Linked DNA regions of Struthio camelus. The protein of the gene in region 2 interacts with the protein of the main gene of each other region in a pairwise test. Links are inferred from orthologs where the notes say so. Each region holds a gene or a part of one and is shown on either strand. Other genes may lie near its edges.

Region 1 (7,296 bases), on a different chromosome or scaffold from region 2:
GAAACCGAGCGGACGAGGGAGGTACAACGGGCCAGGACAGGGCCCTTCCCAAAAAGGGGGCTCGTGTTTTGGAGCTAGCTCCGAACTTCCACGTTTTACCTGCACAAATCGCCACGGAACGCCCCCTCCGGGCCGCAAACTCCCGAGCGAGCCAAACGCCTTGCGATCCCTTCGCTTCGCCCCCCAAAATTAGCTTTCGCTGCAGCAAGGGCGACCGCTGATTTCTGCTGTCTCGCAGCAAAAATCGCTCTCCTTCCTTCACCGAGAGGGCTGAAGCCCTTGCTCGAGATGTTAAAAAAAAACAAAACGGGGGGGGGGGAGGTCTCAAATCCTACTCTTAATTAAAAGGAGCATAAACGAAGCGGAGCCGCTGACGGCGACGTGGGAGATGTGCGTTTTTCCCTGCCCTCCTGAAGCCACAGAGCTGCCGTCGGCGCAGGACCGATGCGGCGCCGCCGCCAGCCCGACCCCTTCAGCGCCCGTCGGTTTTCTTCCTTTTCCTCCTCCTCCCCGGCCCTGGCGGCCGGCCGACCGCTACGGGATCGGGGGCGACAGCCCGGCTCCCTGAGGAGGGAGGGATTTCGAAGCGAAACCCCGCCAAGCGGACGATCGCCCCGCGGGGAAACAAGCTCGCGGCTAAGAACGGCGCCGCGCAGAAGCGGGGAGACTCAAAACCCACTGCGCTTGCACGACGGGAAAAAGCTGCCAACGCTCGGTATTTTCCGTGAGGATTTCCCAGCCGGTTTTGCCGTCGTTCCGGCGAGGGAAAGCGTAAAACAAAGGGGGAAAAAAATATATATAAAACCGTGTTAAAACACCTGCTCGTGAGCCTGCGTTGCAGGAGAGCCGCCAGCCCGGCACGGCCGCCCCGTCTGCGCCTGGGACGCCTCGGTCCCGGGAGAGAGCGGGAGGCGTCGGGGCCGACGACGTCCCAACGAGCTTTCTGCTCGTTAAGACCAAACCCGTTGCCGAGCCCCGGGCGCCCGACGGAGAGGCCAAAGTCTGCGGAAAAGCGCCTGCGAACGTACGACAAGAAATCGAGCGCGGCCGAGCGCCCGGCGTGCCGTTCCCCAAACAAATCGCGCCGAATCGGGGCTGGGTTGTGGCTGTTTTAAGACGCGCTTGCCAAAATACGGATTTTTTCCTTTTTTCTTTTTGGAAGGGAGTTGCTGGACGCGGACGGGAGCCGTCGGCATCATGCGACGCGCGGGACCGAGCCGGTCCCGACCCGGAGCTGGCTTTAAGGGGAGACGGGCTGGATCGCGGGGAGGACGCCGGCCGGCCGAGCTTCGGAAAAGGAAACGCACCCCTTAGGGCGAAGCGCGCGGGAAAAGCCGAAATCGGGGAAGGGGAGCGACGGAGCCGGAGGCCGACGCAAACGGGAAATAACGAAACGCCGAGAAACAATTAAGCCGAGGGGCAAACTGAACGCCCGGCGCCGCACTCCCTCGGCGCGAGCCCCCGCTCCAGCTGTGATTAGCGTTTCCTGGCAAGGCCGTTAATTAAGCCAGGACGCGACTCCGAGGTTGGACCGAGGCCACCGGCCGCTTCCGCGGGGCCGACGCGCCGTCGAATTTCCCGGGGATTCATTTCCCGGGAGCCGCCCCCAAATCCGAGCGCGGGAACGGGCGGCGGGGCCCTTAGAGCGAGACGGCGCCTTGCAAACTCCGCTTCCCCCCCCGAAACGCCCCAATTCCGGGCGTTCCCGACAAATTAATTCCTCCCCGCTCTTCCCCCCCCCCTCCCCGGGATAACGGCAGGCGCGATCGCAGTTAAGAGCGGTGGGCGCCGCCGTCTCGGTGGCAACGTCGGACCCCGTTAAAACCACCTTCGTCTTAACGGGGGCGAGCGCAGCGCCGCGAAGACGGGGAGAAGCGCCGCCGCGAGCGGCGGAGGAGGGAAACCCTCGCTGGGGAACCGCTCCGGCGCGGATTTACCCCGATACTCGGCGGCAGCAAACCCCGATCTAAAACATCCCGGCCGCGGCGGCAAACGCGCAGCCGCGCTCTGTGCTGGATACCGGCCGTGAATAATCCCACGAGGAGTCAACGCGCGAACGACAGATGCCGCAATAAAGGGTTAATCGATAGTTAGGGGGTCGCTGGGGAGCCCGGGGGGGCGTCGGAGAGACGCCGGGCCGCTAGCGAGGCCCCAAACCCAGCCCGGGGCGAACGCCCGCAGCGCGCGGTCGGTGCGAGCGTCGCCCTGCGTTTCCCTAGGGGGGGGAAGAGGGGTTCGGCCGCGTCCCGCAGGGAGGTTTCCTGCGAGCGCGAGCCGCCCGAGACCCTCGCCGGCGGGACCCCGCGCCCCCCTGCCCGCGGCGGGTGGGGGGCAGGCGGCGACGCGGCCGGCCGGGGCCGGGACGCGGAGGTCTCGCAGCTCGGCAGCACCCTCTGCCGCATCCCGCGGGAGCGGCGCAGGGATGGAGGCGGAGGGCGCGGGGCCGAGACGCTTCCCGCCGCCGGGCGCCGCATTCGCCCCGCCAAGCGCCGTCCCCGCCGAGGCGGCACGAAGGAGGCGGCGGCGCGCGTCGAGACATCCGCCGCCTTTATTGAGCGGCGCCGAACGGCCGCTGCGTCGCTCAGTCACCGGCCCGCGGCGCCCGGCGGCGGCGGCTCCTTCTCCGCTCGCTCGATTTGCTCCTCCGTCAGGACGACGGGCTGGTACCGCTCCTCGAAGAGCTTCTCGTTGGCCTCGGAGTGGAGGTGGTGGAAGGAGACGGCGCGGAGGTGCTCGGGCAGGAACCTGAACTCCTCCTCGTTGATGTCGCAGTCCCTCATCTTGGCGCGCAGAACCCACCAGCGTCCCCAGAAGCCCACGTCGAGGACGCGGGCCGGGAGCTCGCGCCAGCGGGGCTGCAGGTAGCGGCACTGCGCCAGGTAGAGGCCGGCCTGGGCGTCGAAAGGCGCCTCGTAGACCAGGGCGAAGAAGACGAGGTTCCGGTAGCGCAGCTGGCCCCGGTCCCGCAGCCGCAGCAGGCGCTGCACGTGCCCCTCGGCGACGCCGCTGCGGATCCACGGCGAGAGGAGCAGCAGGGAGCCGGCGGCCTCCAGCAGAGCCGCCTCGAAGGAGCCGGCGCCGGGGACGGCGGCGCCGCAGGCGGCCGCCCCGGCCAGCAGGGCCAGGCAGCCCGCAGCCCGGCCGGGCCGGCGCCGAGCCCCCCGCGCCGCCTCCCGCGCCGCCTCCGCGTAGTCCTGCAGCAGCGCCCGCCACCAGCGCCCTGCGCCCAGGCGCCGTCAGCGGGGAGGGGGCTGCCCCCCCTGCCCCAGCCTGGGCCCAGGAGTCCGGGGACCACCATAACCCCCTCTTCAATGGGCCCAGGAGTCCGGGCAGCCCCCCCAACCCCCCCTTTAATGGGCCCAGGAGTCCGGGCAGCCCCCCAGCCCCCTCTTCAATGGGCCCAGGAGTCCGGGCAGCCCCCCCAACCCCCCCTTTAATGGGCCCAGGAGTCCGGGCAGCCCCCCAGCCCCCTCTTCAATGGGCCCAGGAGTCCGGGCAGCCCCCCCCAGCCCCCTCTTTAATGGGCCCAGGAGTCCGGGCAGCCCCCCCCCAGCCCCCTCTTCAATGGGCCCAGGAGTCTGGGCAGCCCCCCCCAGCCCCCTCTTCAATGGGCCCAGGAGTCCGGGGACCCCCCCAACCCCCCCCTTCAATGGGCCCAGGAGTCCGGGCAGCCCCCCCCAGCCCCCTCTTCAATGGGCCCAGGAGTCCGGGGACCCCCCCAACCCCCCCCTTCAATGGGCCCAGGAGTCCGGGCAGACCCCCCCCAACCCCCCCCTTCAATGGGCCCAGGAGTCCGGGCAGCCCCCCCCAGCCCCCTCTTCAATGGGCCCAGGAGTCCGGGGACCCCCCCAACCCCCCCCTTCAATGGGCCCAGGAGTCCGGGCAGACCCCCCCCAACCCCCCCCTTCAATGGGCCCAGGAGTCCGGGGACCCCCCCAATCCCCCCCTCCAAAGGTCCCAGGAGTCCGGGGCCCCCTTGGACCCCCCCAGCCCGGCCCTCACCGGCGCGGCTCCCCGCGATGCGCGCCCAGAGCCCGCCGCTCCCCCGGGCCGGGGCCGGGGCCGGGGCCGGGGCCGGGGCCGCCGCCTCCCCCGCCGCCGCCATGGCCGCGAGCGGCGCCGGAAGTGGCTCCGGCCGGGACGGACACGGGGACGGACCGGGCGGAACCATGACGGCGGGGGGGCGGGGCCGGGGGGGCCGGACACGGGGACGGACCGGGCGGAACCATCGCGGCGGGGGGGCGGGGCCGGGGGGGCCGGACACGGGGACGGACCGGGCGGAACCATCGCGGCGGCGGCGGCGGGGGGGGGGAGCCACGTCCGCGGGGCCGGGCCGGGTACCGGGGGGGGGGGGAACCGGGGTGGGGGGGGACCGGGAGGAGCCGGGGGGTCCCGGTCCAGGCCCAGGAGTCCCCGGGGGGGGTTATGGGGGTCCCGGTGCAGCCCCACGGCGGGGCTGGCGGGTCCTGACCCAGGCGGTGCCGGTCCCGGGGGGTCCTGGGAGTCGCGGGATGCTGGAGGGGGGTCCCGGAGGCCCCAGTGCCGGGGGGATCCTGGGGATACCGGGCCCGGGATGCCGGGGGAGCTCCGGGGGGGGGGTCCCGGGGGTCCTGGTGCCGGGGGGGGCTGCGGGGTCCTGGGGGGGTCCCGGGGGTCCTGGTGCCGGGGGGTGCTGGGGGGTCCCTGGAGATACCAAGCCCGAGATGCCGGGAGGGTACCGGGGGGGGGGTCCTGGGGATACTGGGCCCGGGATGCCGGTGGGGGGGCCGGTCCCGGTGCCAGAGGGGGCCCTGGGGATACTGGGCCTGGGATGCTGGGGGGGGTCCGGGGGGGTCCCGGGGGTCCCGGTGCTGGGGGGGCCTGAGGGGTCCTGGGGATACTGGGCCCGGGATGCTGGGGGGTACTAGGGGGGTCCCTGGGGATACCAGGCCCGAGATGCCGGGAGGGTACCGGGGAGGGTCCCGGGGGTCCTGGTGCTGGGGGGTCCTGGGGATACCGGGCCCGGGATGTTGGGGGGGGGTCTCGGGGGTCCCGGTGCCGGGGGGTCCTGGGGATACCGGGCCCGGGATGCCGGGGGAGCTCCGGGGGGGGGTCCCGGGGGTCCTGGTGCCGGGGGGTGCTGGGGGGTCCTGGGGGGGTCCCGGGGGTCCTGGTGCCGGGGGGGGCTGCGGGGTCCTGGGGGAGTCCCGGGGGTCCGGGTGCTGGGGGGTCCCTGGGGATACCAGGCCCGAGATGCCGGGAGGGTACCGGGGGGGGGTCCCGGGGGTCCTGGTGCTGGGGGGTCCTGGGGATACTGGGCCCGGGATGCCGGTGGGGGGGTCCCAGTGCCAGAGGGGGCCCTGGGGATACTGGGCCTGGGATGCTGGGGGGGGTCCGGGGGGGTCCCGGTGCTGGGGGGGCCTGAGGGGTCCTGGGGATACTGGGCCCGGGATGCTGGGGGGTACTGGGGGGGTCCCTGGGGATACCAGGCCCGAGATGCCGGGAGGGTTCCGGGGGGGGTCCCGGGGGTCCTGGTGCTGGGGGGTCCTGGGGATACTGGGCCCGGGATGCCCGGGGGGGGGTCCCGGTGCCAGAGGGGGCCCTGGGGATACTGGGCCTGGGATGCTGGGGGGGGTCCGGGGGGGGGTCCCGGTGCTGGTGGGGGGGGGGGGGCGCCCCAACCGCCTCACGTCTCGCTCCCGCAGCGAGAGACCCCGCCATGGCGGCGTCCGCCGAGCTGCGGTTTCACGGTGAGTCCCGGCGCGACGTCGGGGCAGAGCCGGGGCCCCCCCGCCGCGGCCCCCCCCGCCGCGGCGCCGGGCCCCTCGCGGCCGCCTGACGCCGACCGTCACCGCGCAGAGCTCGAGGAGGCGGCGGAGCCGCCGGCGGGCGAGCGGCCGAGCCACGCGGCCGTGGAGCTGGGGCCCGGCTGCGAGGAGGGCGAGCCGGGGGCCGACGCCGACAGCGCCGAGGTGACGCAGCCGCCGCCGCCGCCGGCACCACGGGGAGCGGAGGCCCCCGGCCGCGGCCCCGCGCTCACGGCCCTTCCTCCGCCCGCAGCTCCTGGGCGGGCAGCAGCAGCCGCGCAGCTTCTGGACCTTCGAGTATTACCAGGCTTTCTTCGACGTCGACACCCACCAGGTAGCGGCGGTCGCGGCGGCCGGACGGCCCGGCTCCTCGGCGCCCGCCGCCTCTGAGACGCCGTCGCCCGCCGGCAGGTGCTGGACAGGATCAAGGGCTCCGTGACGCCGCTGCCGGGGAAGAACTTTGTGCGCCACCGCTTGCGGAACAACCCCGACCTGTACGGTGAGAGGGCAGAGCTGCCGCTGGCCGGGCGCCTGCCGGCGCCCCGGGGCCGGCCCCTCGCCGACCGCCCACCCGCTTTCCCCTCCCCAGGGCCCTTCTGGATCTGCGCCACCCTCGTGTTCGCCCTGGCCATCAGCGGCAACTTGTCCCACCTGCCGGAGAAGCAGGCGTCCCCCTCCTTCCACTACAGCCCCCAGTTCCACAAAGGTGCGAGGCCCCGGGCTGGCGGGGGGACGCGGGGAAGGGGACGGGGCAGCCCGGGCTTTGCCTTCATTGTCCCCGTCCCGTCCCCTCCGCAGTCACCATCGCCGCCACCGTCGTCTACTGCTACGCCTGGCTGGTGCCGCTGGCGCTCTGGGGCTACCTGCGGTGGCGGCGGGGCCCCGGGGCGCGCGGCAGCTCCTACAGCTTCCTGGAGACGGTCTGCGTCTACGGCTACTCGCTCTTCGTCTACATCCCCACAGCGGTGAGTCCCCGGGGCGGCGGCGGTGGGGCCGCGTCCCCCAGCGGAGCTGACGCCGCCGCCGTCCCCGCAGGTGCTGTGGCTGATCCCGGCCGCCTGGCTGCAGTGGCTGCTGCTGGCCGTGGCCGCGCTGCTCTCGGCCTCGGTGCTGGCGCTCACCTTCTGGCCGCTGGTGCGGGCCGAGGGCCGGGCGGCCGCCCTGGCCCTGCTGGCCGCCGTCGTCGCCCTGCACGCCCTGCTCGCCGTCTGCTGCAAGGTACCGCTCGCCGCGGGCCGGGGGGAGCGCCGCTCTGGGGACGCCGGACCCCCCCACTCATTCCCTCCTTTTATTTTTTCTCCCTCCCAGCTTTATTTTTTCCAGCGGCCGCCGGGCGCCGGCCCGGCCCCCTCGCCGCTCCACGCCACGCTGGGGACCGAGCCCCACCACAGCCGCGCGCCCCACCACTTCGCCAACCTCTCCCAGCCGGCGAGGTAAGAGGGGGACCCCGAGCGGGGCAGGCAGCCCCCGGCTCGATGCGGACGGCCCCGGTGGGGGGCCAAACCCTCGC
Region 2 (7,575 bases):
GAGCATTCTTTACACATACTAGGAAGGGTAAGATCATTTCTCAGAAATGTTTCTAGTTCCCCAGCATTTAAAAAAAAATCTGCTAAAGTTCAACATAAGAGTCATAAAAACATGCTTCTCAAGTTCTTCAGCTTTCTATTCCCATGGGAGTGTCCCAGCTGCCTCTGAAACCGGAGGTAGAATAGTAGCACTTCAGGAGCAAAGCAGCTGACAGGACCTCACCTGGAGCTAGACGGTTGTCTCCTCCTTGCTGGAGGAGAAGGTTCCGATTTCCCAGAATCTCCTGGGATGGAGGAGGAGAAGAGGCGAAAGCCTAAAATATGCAAAAGGCATAAAGGGAATTTTAGCCAAGCTATAATACAGAGGTGAAAGCAATCAATAGCAGTCTCTCTAGGAGGCCTCACTGCTGTTAATCTTCCTATTGCTAAAGTGCTAGACAGCAATTATTTGGGCCAAAAAATCTGAGAGGAACCAGATAAGGCACAGAGATCATAACGTCAACATGCCAGTCCTTAGTGATATCAACACAAATTCTTCCACTGCAAGCGCTCTGCAATTAGTTGTGTGTATAACTGGCACTGGAGAGCATCCATGCCACTTATTATTAATTAACAATGTCCGAAGAGAGCCACAATGGCTGTGACTAGAACTCACCATCATCTCCAGAGTCAGACTCTTGCACAGAAGTTTGTGAAGGTCCTGATGAATCCTTCAAGACAGTGATAAAACTAAGCAGAAAACCACAGTCAGATAGGTTTGTGCAGCCAAACTGAGATAAAGTTGGATACTTCTAGGAAACAAGACTGTAGGGAGATGTTACATAGTTTCTTTCTTTTTCCTAGTGAAGTGGTTTCATTTTGCCCTTTCAGAGCAGACCATGCCTTCACCTCTTACCATCACATGCCATAAGCATGACTTGCAAGCAACATTTCAAAAAGCCCACTCAGAACACCAGGAGTTCTAGTTCTTAGAGCCATGTGTACGCAATAAAGACAGCGGCACCCACAGTCAGAGGCAGCTTGTGAACACAGCGTGCTGCCAGCACAACTCTGAACATTTTAGATTGTAAGAATAAATGAAAGAGTCGCATGCCAGCCTTTAAGTGGCTCCCTGTTACATGTTCACCACAGAGGTGAACGGAGACAGGCTGTACCGCACAGGAGGCCTGTACAAGAGGAGCACAGCACATGGGCCAGGTCAGCTCACAGAAGAGTGGAAGCTTGCAGTAGATACAGGAACGAAGGGGACAAGCAAATAAACAATTTGTCCTTCATATCCTCATTGCTCTCAAATCTTTAATTTCCCATTTTTAGAACGCAAAAACATCAGTGCTACTTTACCCCCAGAATAAACCTTTTAATATCACATGCCAATACCCGTCTAGCATTGCTCCCAGTTTCTTTGCGACATGTGCTCTGAATTCTGGTGTGGTCTGTAGCTCATTTCCATCCTCATCATGACCATTCACCTTGCGCCTGTTTAAAATAAGAACAATGATGATCTCTTTCAAGGCCAATAAGATCTGCTGCTCTCATCCACACAGGAGACAAGCAACTGAAAAGCCTCCTAGCCTCTAGTAACCTATTCCTACTTAATTGATAGGGAAGACTGCTAAAATGCTGCAAAATAGCTCAGCAGCATCACTTCAGCATCCAAGAGAGAGACGAAAGCTATTTAGGCATCTCCAGGACAGTTAATAATTGGGTGATTTTCACACTGAAAGAGACAACAAGAGCAAACATATGATGTCAGGACATCCCTTTGCTTGCAGGTGGTTCCTGAAGAAAACAACTTTGAGGTACACTGCATAGATGCCACAGGTCTTGCAACATCTGTCCTGGGAGAGAGGATTTTAAGTTGCCAGGCAGAAGGTCTTAGACACAGAATCTACAGGAACATTGTAAACCTGTGTAGGACAACATCACCTTCATGGCAAGTATTTAATTCAGGTGTTGTTTTCCTAGTTGATAAAAGTATCTGGCTTTGCAACCGTAACCTTTTTTTGAAATGGTCTTTCTATGTATAATGCTTTCTTTCTAAGAGGAAAAGAAACTTCATTACATATAATTGTACTAACACCTACACAGGGCCCTTACAAAGGTGGTAGGTGTCTGACACTCTGAACTAAGGCTGTGCGTGAAAGTGCTAATAGCTTTCTACTTCTACACGGACCTGCCGCTAGAGGGATGAGAAACGTACTTAAAGAAATGTTAGCTTTTGGGAGGGTTTAAGCACCGTTGCAGGTCACTGTTGGCCCAGTTTCTGAGAGAGAACAATGCCTTTCGGTAGGGAGCATCCCAAGGCACTAACGGTAGGTAACACAGACACATTACTGCGTTAAATTTTTCTTCACTAGAACAGAATTTTGAAACCAAAGATACCTTAGACTAGGCTGAGCTGTCGGCAAACGAGCCTGTCTAAAACCACCTGCCAAAGAAAGAAAGCAAAAGCAAGTTAGAAAAACCGGTGCCCACAACATCGTTAATCCTGCTCCCGCAGATGTGGTGCTACGCTACAAAGCTTCAGGGGGAAACAGCTCGGGGCGGGGGGAAGGAGGAACTCCCCAGGGGCCCGGCGGTACCCGGGGGCCGCCCCCCGCCCCGGCGGCGCTCCCGAAGCGGCCCGACCCGGCCCGGCGCAGCCCCCCGCGCCGCGGGGACCCGGGGCTGGAGACGCTGCGCGGGGGCCGCGGCCCAAACCCGCCGGAGGACAGAGCCCGGCTGCCGCCGCCCCTCACCGCCAGGCGGCCCCGCCCGCGCCGCCGCCTGCCCGGCGCAGTCCCAGGCGGCCTCCTGGAACCGCTCCGCCGCCGCCGCCGCCGCATCCCTGCCGCTGCCGCCGCTGCTGTCCGAGTCCGAGCCCGAGCCCGCGTCTAGGCGCGAACCGCCCCTGCGCGCCGCCATCTTGAAGCCGCGCCGGCCGCGAGGCACGCTGGGGCTGCGGTCTGGCCGCAAGGCACGCTGGGGGGTGTAGTCGTGCCGCGAGGCACGCTGGGGACTGTAGTCGTGCCGGGCGGGAGCGGCGGGCGCGGAAGGCGGCCTGGGGGAAGGTGCGCTCGGCGGCCTGAGGCCGCCTGCCCGGGCTGTCCGCGGAGCTCTCCTCCGGACTCGCAGCACCCTCCCCGGCCCTTTCCTTCCAAGGCCTGGGGATTTCCGTACAGTATTTTAGCTCCGTTATTTACCTTCACAGATGACAAACACCAGACGCTTCAAAGGATGTTTTACTCAAGCGGGCAGGCAAACCTCAGCGTGCTCACGGGCCTTTGACGTGCGGCAGTTTTGAGAGATACAGTGCGGGGGGGGGGAGGAAAAACAAAAGAAAGAAGACGGCCTGTCACCTGCCAGAAATTGCTCTATGATTTCCCACCTTTCTGCTGTGGTGTTGGAAACCGAGGAGCAAAGTGAACAGACGGTCTTCGAAACGGCCCTTTTTGTCAAATGAGGGCAAAAAGCCACTAACAGACAGCAACTCTTTAGCACGGAAATGTCAAGGAAGGGTTTTCTCAAATGTGATTTGACACTGAATGAGAGTAACAGTGGGCTGAGAATACAGCAGGATAAAACAAAGAATGGAGGGCTTGGATTCCTGATGTATGTACGACCCCTTCGTAAGTAGAATTTTAGGAAGCACTTTGGGCGTACTGGAAATGCCAACATTATATTTGTCAGTTTTGTCAGTCAGCCCTGAAGAAGAGAGGAAATCCACGTGCACTAGTACGCCAACGGGAATGAACTGGCGACCGCGGTACAACAAGCGTTCTCTAACTCTAGCAGCTACCAGCCACACTGAAGAATGATATACATGACACCATTAGAAAAAAGAAATTCACACATATAGATATGTCCCCGTTACACATGTGATATACAGCTCTTTGAAAGCTAGTAATTTATGGGCTTCAAAAAAGCAAGCGTTCCCTTGCATCCTTTATTATTGCCATTCAATTCAATTAGGCTTTAGCAGTGGGAGAAAATCTGAGTGTGCCATCCATATTCTCCATCTGACCTACTATTTTAAACAAATCTGTCCTCTCCAATGAACCTTGTCTGTAAGCAAGATTAAAATTTTCATCATCTTCTTGTACGTAATCCTTTCCATTCATCCACCATTCATCTTATTCACTGCCTTCCTCTGGATCCCTTCTACTTTAAAAAGGAAGCACTCACTACAAGTGGAACGGGGACACTGTAAATACGTCCCTGCAGAAACGCATAATAAAATCATTCCATTCTTCAGAGACCTAAAACGTAAATAAAACGCTGGATACATCCCCTGGCTGTGCCGCCTGTGGCAGCAACTGCTCCTCGGATTGCTTCAGCTACCCTACGAGGCCCAAACGGCAAGGGCTGACCTTACACCTGCTCCCCTGAGGACAACACTGAAGCACCGCTTCGCCGCCGCGGGCGGGAGGGACCGTGGCTGCGCCCCGCCGCCAGGCTGCCTCCGGGGCAGGCCGCGGCCCGCCTCGGCCCGGCTCCTGCCAGGGGAGAGGGGCGCGCCCGCCGCCCGCCGCCCGCCGCCTCCGCCGGAGGCGCCCCCGCAGCAGGCCAGCCCTCGCCGACGGAGGGGGGCGGCCGGCCGGTCCCTTCCCGTCCCGTCCCTTCCCGTCAGGGCCCGGCTTCCGGGGCAGCAGGTGACGGCGGCGGCGGCGGCGGGCGGCGCGGCTCCGTGGCTCGGCTCCGTGGCTCGGCGGGACCCGCCGGTGAGACGCGCCGAGACGCGGCCGGCTGGCGGCGGAGGGGCCGGGGGGGCCGGGGCCTGGCGGCGGCGGCGGCGGGGCGGGCCCGGGCCGCGGTTACAGGCCGCGGTCAGCGAGGCGGGCGGCGGCGGCGGGCCGGGCCGGGCCGGGCCGGGCGGGGGTTCCCGGGGCGGTTTTCCTTTCCCTCCCCGGTGCCGGGGAGCGAGGCGGCGGCCGGGCGCGGCGGGCTGCTGGCCGCTGGCTCTGCTTGCGGCACGCCGGGCTCCTCTTGTGCACGTTTCGGTGCCAGCCCGGTTAGCCCGCTTTAGGGGCCTTTGATTCTAACAAATATTTTACATAACGCCCCGGACCAGGAAAACGTTCAGGTGATACCACCCAGCTGGTTATAGCAGATTTCTTTTTTTCCTTTGGACTTCCTGAGGCAGGAGGATAACATCTCTTCTTCGAGTCTATGATACAGGTTTTATGGAATCGTTTAAAGAAAAAGAACGATCTGAATCCCGTGCTTTTTTGAGAGCTTGTAAGCGTGTCGGGAGGCATGTCGAGTCCCCCGGGCAGCCTCTCCGCGCGCCTCGCGTCCTGGAAGCGGTGCCCGCGGTGCAGGCGCGCTGCAGAATCCCGGTTAACGAAACGGGGCCGCGCGACGGCTCGTCGCTCCGTGAGCAAAACAGATGCGTTCGCCAGATCAAGCCGGTGGGCAGGCTTGTGGTTGGGTCCGCTTTCTGTAATACTAAGAAGCAGGTGCATGATGGCATGGAGTTTCTGGGAAGTGGAAAGGTGTGCTCGCAGAAAAGGGTTTGGAGGAGTTAACATGTAACGTGTTTGGGAGGCTGAATGGAATAAAAAGGTGGTGAGATAAATGCGTGTTTAATAATTAACTGTAGGACTTCAGTCATGTATTTACTATGAGTATCTATCTTAAAATGACTATCAAGAAGTAAATGTTCTTCTAGGCACTGTCAATGATTATCTTAATTGAAGTCCAGACAACTCGAATACTTTTAAGTATCAGATTTTTCTTAGACTTATGATTAGGTACGTTTATATAAAATCTTGGTAATATTCTTAGAATTTGATAAAACTTCTAACATTAATACTTTCTCTTTTTTTAATTTGTCATATCTGCATCCGAAAATCACAGTCACAGTAATTATAAGAAAAGTAGCCTAACAAATCTTCCTTCGCACTTAAACAGAAAGAAGTTCAGAAACTAAATGAGAACTTGTATCACAAACTAGACCTAGATTGTTTCAATTTGCGTAATCTCAGATAAGATACGTCTCATTAACAAAAGAAATATGGGAGTGTGTCTTTCTAGTAGAATTTCTAATCCAACAGTGCTGTTCTTTTTATTTCATTGTTATATATTAGACATTGCAAAAATAAATAAAAGGTATGTTTTATGAATAAACAAGCCAGAGTTCTGTAGCCTTGCTGAGATTTTTTTCTTCATGCTCATGAAGGAACATTACAAAGTAAATTTTTCAAACATTCTAATGTTACAGTGCTATGAGCATATATTCCACAATTGTTTCTCACAGAGTGACATCAGCTTTTAATTTATATTCTCTCTCTCTCTCTCTCAGGTTGAATTACTGTTCACCTGCTGTGTTTCCAATGGAATTTTTTGCATGGTTTAACTTATGGTGGAAGCTGTCCCAGTCTGTCCTGAAAAGTTTCTGTTGTTTTTTAGAGGCAGGTCAGTGTACTTCGGCAAATGTAGTAATTTTTCTTGCTAAGTTAAGAAACATCATCTTTTACAGGATCCATTGGGCTCACATATTTCTCTTGTGCAGTTTCTCATACTAGCTCTATGGTTTTTTTTTTCTTTTTTTAAATTTTAAAAATATTTACTCAAATTTATTTCTCACTGCTTGTTCGTGAGACTTGTATTAATACAGTCCTTACTGATTTCCTCCACTTCTTTCATGGACCACCTGCGCTTGCAGCTGTCCCGCAGCGCTCAGGTCCCAGTGTGCCGTTTACTTCTCAGGGGTCCAAGTTTGCCAGCTCTATCAGCCATACTTTTTCTTTGGACAGCACAGTGGGATGCACGCTGGATCCCTAGACGTACATCTTCTCTGCCATGCCTTCTTCACCCTCCATCCCTTCCAGCACGCTTTATTTAGGCAGACTACTTCATTTGTTGCCAATCTTGATTCTCTGGATGCAGTAGTTGTCAGCGATGTAGTCATTTTTCAGAGCAATCTGTTGGGATATCACAGGAGGTGATGACTTAAATGAAACAAACAGCAGATATAGATGGCTCTTAAGTACAAAGATATTATTTTCCCATACATGTCTAGAGAACAAAGAAGGGCAGGAAAATCTTTGCATGCTTGCCATTAGATCTCAACTGATTTTTATATCCTTTCACTTGTTTTGTTTGCCACTCATCATGCCTCTGAGGTTGGATTTAAGAGCTGATCTGAAGGACGAGGGTTTAGCAAACTTGGACTGGCATCTGTCCAGCCAGTCCTCTCTACGTTCTATTTACTTAACCCCAAAAGTCGTGGTGTGTCCCAGGGCACTTGCAATCTTCCTTTTTTCTGATTTCTAGATCAAACAGAAACTGGGCTCCGTTTGGCCTGGTTTGCTGTTTTTTTAAGTTTTGTCTCTGAGTTTAAAGTAGTTCAGGTGACATTTCTACAGTTTTGAACTTGTTCTACACTTGGACAAATTGAATTTGTGGTTGAACTGCTACTTTAGGATTCACAGGCTAAGCTCATGAGTGATGCAGCGTACAATTATCAAATGCACCTTTTAGTCATCAGACGCTGTTTCATGCTTGCTTCATCGTATATGCAGCGTGCTTTGCAGATGAACACACCCCTACAGGGCCTGCTATAGTCCTAGTTGTATTAAACAGTATTCCACAG
Region 3 (7,445 bases), on a different chromosome or scaffold from region 2:
AATTCAAGCCGAATGACATCAGATGAATCTGATGTTTAGTGAGTACACCAGCTGTATTCCGCGGCACATATATTTATATATCCAAGCTGCTAACGACATGAAAAATACAGCTTGGAAAGCGCTTGAACAAATACCGCCGCTTTCTATCAGGAACACAGAACAATTTCTGTTCTCCTGTTTCAAGCGTTTCTGATGGCAGAACTCCTACAAGCTCCTCCTGAACAAGAAAGACTGGACAACACAGTAGCACTGCCGTGAGCTCTTTGTAAGGCAAAAGAGCTTCCCAGCAGCAGGATCTATTTTCACAGGAGCAAGCAAATCTGCCCTATTGCATCCAGGAGAGGGCACTGTTACACCTGTCCACAAAACCGGACGTGGACACGTATAGGAGGAACAGGAAAGTTCAGAACAACTTAAAACTCGGTCAACTTGCACAACCAGTTAGTTATTTTTGTGATAAAGCTAATCTTCGGAATGAGTTGAGTCATCCAGATGCGCTGCCACACAGAAACACAACATGACAGACAATAATCATGCAGGCTAAATCTATTTTCACAGTCTCCAAAATGTGCGAAGTGATATGTATATAAAGACAATTTCTGGCACACAGACCTCTCTGTTAAAAATTTGGGATGACAACAAGAGAGATGTAGTGTGTAAGGTAGGTGGGAAAAAAGGGTTAAATTTAAGAACATCTTAGTTTTTTGAATATTTCGGGCTTCTCCTTTGTCACTTTTTTTTTTTAATAAAGCATGTTATAAATGAGCATATTAACATTTAAATGAAAAGTGAATACCATCTACTACTAATACTGCCTGTAAGGTTAATCCTTCTATGGATGGCTCATGAAGATAAAAAACCAATAACAAGAAATATGTAACAGATTCAACCTTTGCTTCTGAAGTGTTTGAAATCACCATACAAATCTCCTGAGACAGCTCTGCTGTCCTAGAAGAAGTCCTCCAGCAACAACGAGAGAAGATCAAACCTGACATTTCTGATTTTTCTAAACTAAAGAGGCCAAGATGAGGGGAAGAAATAGTCTTGTTATGCAAGACACAAAGAAGATACAGCAAAAGAAGGAACAGAACGTTGCATGCTGGAAAGTTACAGTTTCAGAAACGGCACTTTCTTCTTCTGATCAGAGGGAACAAAATAATTCCAAATTCTGAGTAATTCTAACAGAAAAATATCCTACTGATATAAAGAGAATAAAAATAGAAAAATGTGAAAATGATAAAGACATCTCTAAGAATAACCATTTGAAGAACAGAAATTTAATCTTACCTGGTGCTGTCACAAATATTTTGAAGCCCCCCCAGGCAGTGCGCTAGGGTTGGGGGGCGCCCATACTCTCAGTCAGAAGAACCATAAACACAGTGACTTTATTGTATACGCAGCAAGTGAGTCCAACATACCCATGCAATTTGTCCACGTACAATAGCCACTTTCCCATGAAAATGAGGGGGAAAACTATTTCCTACGTACAGGTTGTAGGGCTGAACCATCTAATACAGGAAACAAAACATTGTTTAGGATGTTTGGTTATACCAGCAGAGGTGATGAATATTGTCAGTCCTTTCGTACTGAGGGCCTCAGGTGATGCCTTAAGATCACCGATCTTAGTTTATAGACAACTGACTCTAAACATTCCTCCTGAAATAACTTTATGGAGTCAGAACCTCCATTAATTCACCAACTTTCCTGCACCCCGTTCTAGAAATATTTCAAAGCAATATAGCAAACATACTGAATAAAGTATGGATACCTGGAATTGTGCCTCCCAGTCTATTAGTTATGATCAACACCAACATGCAAAAGTATAGACCGATTTGTGGCCAGTTTGTGAAAGCTGTTATTGAAGGAACTGTTTGCTATGAACCTAAATCGATGATGGGATTAATAGAAGAACTATCTCTTGAAATAAGACATAGTACAGGATTTCATAATACAAAAAATGAGCTATGTTCAAAGGACTAACTTCTGTTTCATATTTTGCATATGGATTTCTCTAAGGGTGGAAGACTAATGAGAACTTAATTCAGAGGTTATACACAGAACAGTATTATCAGCACACTATACAGTATATTATGAAGTCAGACATGCGAAGTCATTGAAATCACAAGAAGAGGCTGAGTATGTTCTCATTTTACTTCTCAGCAGTTTTCTTTCTAAGCATTTTTCTTATCCTACCAAAAAAAATTATTTGGAAACTGCTAGTCTATGGTCCTGTTCTGGCTTAAAATAAGGTAGAGTTTTCTGTAATATAGTAAACTATAAAATATTATAAAAGCTATAATATGACAGCCCCAGCATACTCATTACATCAGGTACTGATTACATGCAGTACTCTAATTGTGGTAGGACTTACCACCACTTCTTTCTACTCTCCAAAAAGCCTTCCTACATTCTCCTTATTTTACCAGAGAGAAAATGAACAGAAAAAGGACAACTAAAACGGAGGGCCAGTGAAGCATATGATGAATATGAAACAATCGTGAAATAAGTGAAAGATGCGTATATAAGGATAAAGGAAATGAGAAGAACATAGTAAGGAAAACAGATACAGGCACTCACATTAATTTGATTTGCTTTTTGCAGTAACAGACTCTGACATCTGTAATCCAAATGAGCACATGGAAATGAACCCAGATACAAACCAGGCAAAATCACTGCCCTTTACTTTACTGGGGCTATTACTGGATGTCTACTACCTATAACATACAAGCACGCTCACAGGAACACAAAGAATGCTGACACTTGATAAAGGTCATGTTTTCGACTCCATTCAGAGCAAGTTCTGCATATTTAGAAGCTCAGCTTCTTACTACCGTGGGCTGTCTGAAAAGATATAAGGCATTTAACTCAGGGATTTTATGTACTGCATTTATAATTTTTGCCTATAGTATGCAACGGGAGCTGAGCATACCATAAACCTAACTTTCAGTTATGAGCTCTCCGAGTCAGATAAGAATTATTATGGCAGATAAGAATTATTACCCTTATGTTACAGGTGGGAACCTAAGGCATAGCGAAGCTATGGCCTACCTCCTCAAAGGAACTTAGGCACGTCAGTGGGACTTAGCTGTCTAAATTATTTTGAAGCTGAAGGCCCAAGATTACACTGGAAGTCATTAAAAAGAAATCAGACTTAATGCAAAATGGTTCTTTTCAGAAAGGTAATAAAAACTGGAAAAACGTTGCGTCAAATGCATATTGTGTCAAAAACAAGCTTTGATACAAAGAAAGAGCTGACTCTATGAGCCAGATGCACATGATACAACACTGTTCCAGGAGAATGGACTTTTCCCAGTCAAATCACAGGGGAATAGTAAATACACAGAGAAAAAATATATATGCATCTGTAAACAGCTGCCAGATTTTTTTTTTAATCAATTGGGCCTATACTTTCTTTAATGTTTATATAACAGTGAAAATGTTGTGTGCATCACTGGAGATAAATGAAGTGTTTGCAGAGGACAGCCACAGCACGAGCAGACAAGTCCCAACCATAAGCCACTACAGTCAGGTTCCCAAGAATCAGAAATGCTCCCTGTTGGGATAAGCGTTTATGCCGTACACAGCCCTACACTGTACTATTAGGGGAGGCCCTGTAAAGCGTTTCTGTAGACCTTGAAGCCTGGAAAGCCTCTAGTTTCCCAAACGAACAACAGTCGTAAACGCAACCTCATACTCCCTTCTGAAAATCTGTCTGCGCTCTCCCATAACATACCACATTTTGCCCTCCTCGGGCAAGCGGGGATGGTTACGGGCACCTATTTCTGTCTTCTGTTATCTGTGCCTTGCAGTGCTTGCTTCTGCAATAAAGCGCAGCAGCCCGTTAGGCGGCCCTGAGCCGCCGCCTCCTCCCCGCCTCCCGACGCCTTGCAGCAGGAGCGGGGCGAGCGGCCTCCCCGCCGCCCGGCCTGGCCCCCTCCGTCCCCGCTGAGGGGCAGCAGCCTCTCGAGGGCGGGATCGCAGCCAGGGGAGACGCAGAGTACTGCCGTTTAACCCCCCCCCAAAAAGGGGGGGAGAGGGAGGGGGGTGAACGGAGTCCCTCGGCTGAGGAAAGCCCCCCCCCCGGCTAGCTCTGCCCAGGCGCTGCGGGAGAGGACGCGTGAGCAGCTCGCAGAGGCCGGCGCTTCCTGCGCGGGGGGCGGCGGCGGGGCCGTGTCACCGCACCGCCGCCACCCAGCTCCGCCGCGGCGCGGGGCCCGCCGGCGGGGGGGCGGCGCAAGGGCTCTGCCGGCCCAGCGCTGCTCCCGCGTTAGCCGCCGCCGCAGGAAACGAGCCCTGCCCGGGTCAGGACGAGCGGCCGGCACCTCCCTGGGGCCGGCGGCGGACGGAGGCGGCAGCCGCCCCGCGGGGACAGCGGGCAGGAAGGGGCTGCGAGGCGGCGGTTGGCGCGGCGCGCACCGTCCTCCCTCGCGCTCTCCCCGGCGGCCGGCGCCCGCCCCCCATCCGCCGCCGGGGAGCCTCGGCGCCCGCACCGCTCCGCTCCGCTCCGCGCACACGGCGGCCCCTCCTGAGCGGCGGCGGCGGCAGCGGCAGAGCCGGGTGCCGCAGCGCGCATGCTCGGCGCGGGCGCCATTTTGGTGGGGCCGGGAGTTATCCAGCGAGAGCGGCGGCGGCGGAGCTCGCTGGGCCCGGCGCGGAGGCAGCGGCGAGTGGGTGCGGGTCGGTGCCCGCTGCGGAGATGGCTAACATCGCGGTGCAGAGGATCAAGCGGGAGTTCAAGGAGGTGCTGAAGAGCGAGGAGGTCAGAGCCTCTCCCCCTCCCCTGGCGCCGCCACCCTCCGCCGTGTGTGCGTGCGCGTATGTATGTATGTATGTATGTATGTGTGTGTGTGTGTGTGTGTGTGTGTGTATGGGAGTGCGGGCAGCGGGGGAAGGTGCGGGCTCCCCGCCGGGCTGCGCCGGGACCCCGCTTCCCCCTCGGCCCCACCTCCCCGCGCTGGGGGTGGGCCCGGCCCGCGGCCTCGGGGAGGGGAATGGCGATTCCCGGGGAGACGGGACCCGCCAGCCGCGGCGGGGGGAGGAGGGGGCCGCCGAGCCCCTCCCCCCGCGGGCAGCGGGAGCCGCCGGAGGCCCGAGGGGGAGCGGGGCCCGGCCTGCCAGCGGCAGGAAGCGCGGCGGCGGCGGCGGGGAGCGAGGGCCGGGGGCCGGGCCGGGCAGCCCCCGGCGGCGGCGGCGGCGGCTCCCTCCGCCCTGGGCGGGCTGTGGGCGGCCGAGGCGGCGGAGCCCGCTGCCAGGCCGGGCGCTGCGGGGTGGGGCCTCCCACGCGCGGCGCTCCCGCGACCCTCGCCCGCGCGGGTGCCGCGGCACGCATCGCCGCACGCGGCCCTGGCGGCCCGGAGGCAGCGAGGTGCATCGGTGAGGCCGAGGTGCAGGATGCGTGGTCACACACATCCCCCTTAACTCACCTCTCTGGTCAGCCAGAGACTGCGGAGTGTGTGTTTTATTTTTTAAAAGGTTGCAGGTAAGTCCCTTTTTATCTAGGTTACTTTAATCCAGAACTTCCTTTATCCCAGTGTAGGTTAACTCACCTTAACGTGGATGGTTTTAAAACCATACTCATTTAATTCTTGTTCTCTCGTTTTCTGGCTTTCTAAATAGTGTCTCTCTGAAGCAGCTCATGTTATCGAGAGGTATGTGGTGGTCAACGAGAGGAGCTGACTACTACCTTGGGCAAAATATTAAAAGAAGTTTTGATCTGTTATTGGGAATATGTAGCAGCTTTTGCAGGGTTGCATCAGTACAATTCTTGCTGTGTCTGGATCTGAGTTGGCGAATGACAACCAGATAGGTTTTAATAGTTGTGTCGTCATTGTCGTCCTACTTGGGATGATGTTGCAGGTTAGATGCCTGTGAAATATTAATGTGAACGTGTAACTCTTAAAGCTAGTGTTTTAGAAATCTGGACACATTCGCAGAAGAAAATCAAGAGGACAGTAATTTTTTGAAGATACTAATACCTCACAGAAAAGATGCCATTGCTGTAGTTGATGCGCTTTTAAATTAAGTGTGCTAACAGCATTGTTGCTATGCAGCTTGAACTAGCCTCTATAAAAACGTAAGGGCCTTGTTTTACAGCTACCTTTGGAGCCCAGGCTGTTTTTGCTAAGCTCTTGCACAGTGATTACACAATTAGGTGTAAACTAAGACAAATTTCTAGGTGGCCATCTTTGTGCCAGAATTAGAGTCCAAAACCAGTACTCCATATAACTTTATACTGTGGGAACAACATTTGTATCTGCATTTGAAGGTACTATCTAAAGGGTTCAAGTCCCTTTCACCTTACTTTATGTAGGAAAAAGAGAAACAACCTATGCAATTCTGTGGTGAGATCCGTCCTGAATTTCCTTACAGTAAAGGTTGGGTCCAGAGAGCACATTTTTCTCCTTTCCTGATTGTTTAGTCTACGCATTGGAGGGGATCAGTATAGAGTGTTGGAAATAAATAATATTATAAAATAGTTCTTAAGCTAGACAACATCTTTCAGATATGATAAGGCCACAATTCTTATGAAACTTTAAAATTATGAAATTTTGAAATTAAAGCATTTTTAAGAGTTTCATGTGTCGTCTTTTTCTGCCATTATCAAGCTACATATGAGTAGAATACTGACATAGCACATATTGTAAACAGCATTTTTGTAGATACTACTATCTCCCCTATCTTGAGTACGTGATTTAGGCATTTATCTGTGGTTCTCTATGTTACAAGCAAGTCTGTTGTGGATGTTTGTACTTTCAAAGCCAGTCAAGCTATGGTGTTAGTACCACTGAGCATAAAAACATGTGGAGTGAGATGGTGAATGGAGGGATAACTAAATACTACAAATTGAAGAAGTCTTTTTTCCTACATGTTTTGTGTAATTAAGCAGTTCTTGACCCTTGTTCTTAAAAATTTTCTGTGTCATGAATAAGTGATGCTAAATTTGTTATATAGAAATTTCAGTCCGTTTCTGAAGGCAAAGTAGCTCACGTTACATGCACTTAGATTATTCTTATTTGAGGCTTTGAACTACAGCTGAACATAAAGAGCAGTGCCAGTTTGTTTCTCTGCAGATCCAATATGGGCAGAAATAGCATTTTTTGGTGCTTGAAAGGAACACATACAGACTTTGCTCTGTGTGTTTTTCCCATATTCATCTGTGGACTGAAACAGGGTGATTTTTGAAAAAGCATTTAAAATCCTTTCAGACTTGAGAAATGGAAGCATTTTTACTCTACTGGCTTTATTATTTCCAGTTTTACTATAAGCTCTCTCACACCTTAACTTAAGGACTCAGCTATTGAGCATTCAATAAAGGTCCTTGTAACTTTGTGTCTCTTAAATATTTGAACTATAAATAGGTGAGACCAGCAGCAATTTCTTTGTCAGGAATGCTCTCTGGACTAGGATTTAAATAAAACAAATTTACCTTGTGTGCTGAAGAAGTT

The links.
Region 1: the proteins of RNF185 (region 2) and YIPF2 interact in binary tests that used the Homo sapiens proteins (3 or more experiments, as listed by UniProt). The two-hybrid records come from large-scale screens. The link is inferred for Struthio camelus from reciprocal best matches to the Homo sapiens genes RNF185 and YIPF2.
Region 3: the proteins of RNF185 (region 2) and UBE2K interact in binary tests that used the Homo sapiens proteins (3 or more experiments, as listed by UniProt). The link is inferred for Struthio camelus from reciprocal best matches to the Homo sapiens genes RNF185 and UBE2K.

Annotation. Positions count from the first base shown.
Region 1 is NC_090972.1:4,658,821-4,666,116, forward strand, and holds the start of YIPF2 (protein YIPF2), read left to right. Parts: upstream 1-4,250; 5' UTR 4,251-4,337; intron 4,338-5,684; 5' UTR 5,685-5,698; coding exon 5,699-5,729; intron 5,730-5,838; coding exon 5,839-5,951; intron 5,952-6,039; coding exon 6,040-6,120; intron 6,121-6,197; coding exon 6,198-6,285; intron 6,286-6,375; coding exon 6,376-6,492; intron 6,493-6,584; coding exon 6,585-6,751; intron 6,752-6,821; coding exon 6,822-7,004; intron 7,005-7,094; coding exon 7,095-7,219; intron 7,220-7,296. Other genes in the region: TIMM29 (mitochondrial import inner membrane translocase subunit Tim29), read right to left, coding at 2,586-3,220, 4,003-4,105.
Region 2 is NC_090958.1:8,167,251-8,174,825, forward strand, and holds the start of RNF185 (E3 ubiquitin-protein ligase RNF185), read left to right. Parts: upstream 1-4,549; 5' UTR 4,550-4,699; intron 4,700-6,282; exon of another isoform or gene 6,283-6,395; intron 6,396-7,575. Other genes in the region: C17H12orf43 (protein CUSTOS), read right to left, coding at 223-313, 655-728, 1,377-1,475, 2,382-2,427, 2,738-2,903. UniProt on the Homo sapiens protein: E3 ubiquitin-protein ligase that regulates selective mitochondrial autophagy by mediating 'Lys-63'-linked polyubiquitination of BNIP1.
Region 3 is NC_090945.1:61,646,575-61,654,019, reverse strand, and holds the start of UBE2K (ubiquitin-conjugating enzyme E2 K), read left to right. Parts: upstream 1-4,367; 5' UTR 4,368-4,696; coding exon 4,697-4,759; intron 4,760-5,362; exon of another isoform or gene 5,363-5,479; intron 5,480-7,445. UniProt on the Homo sapiens protein: Accepts ubiquitin from the E1 complex and catalyzes its covalent attachment to other proteins. In vitro, in the presence or in the absence of BRCA1-BARD1 E3 ubiquitin-protein ligase complex, catalyzes the synthesis of 'Lys-48'-linked polyubiquitin chains.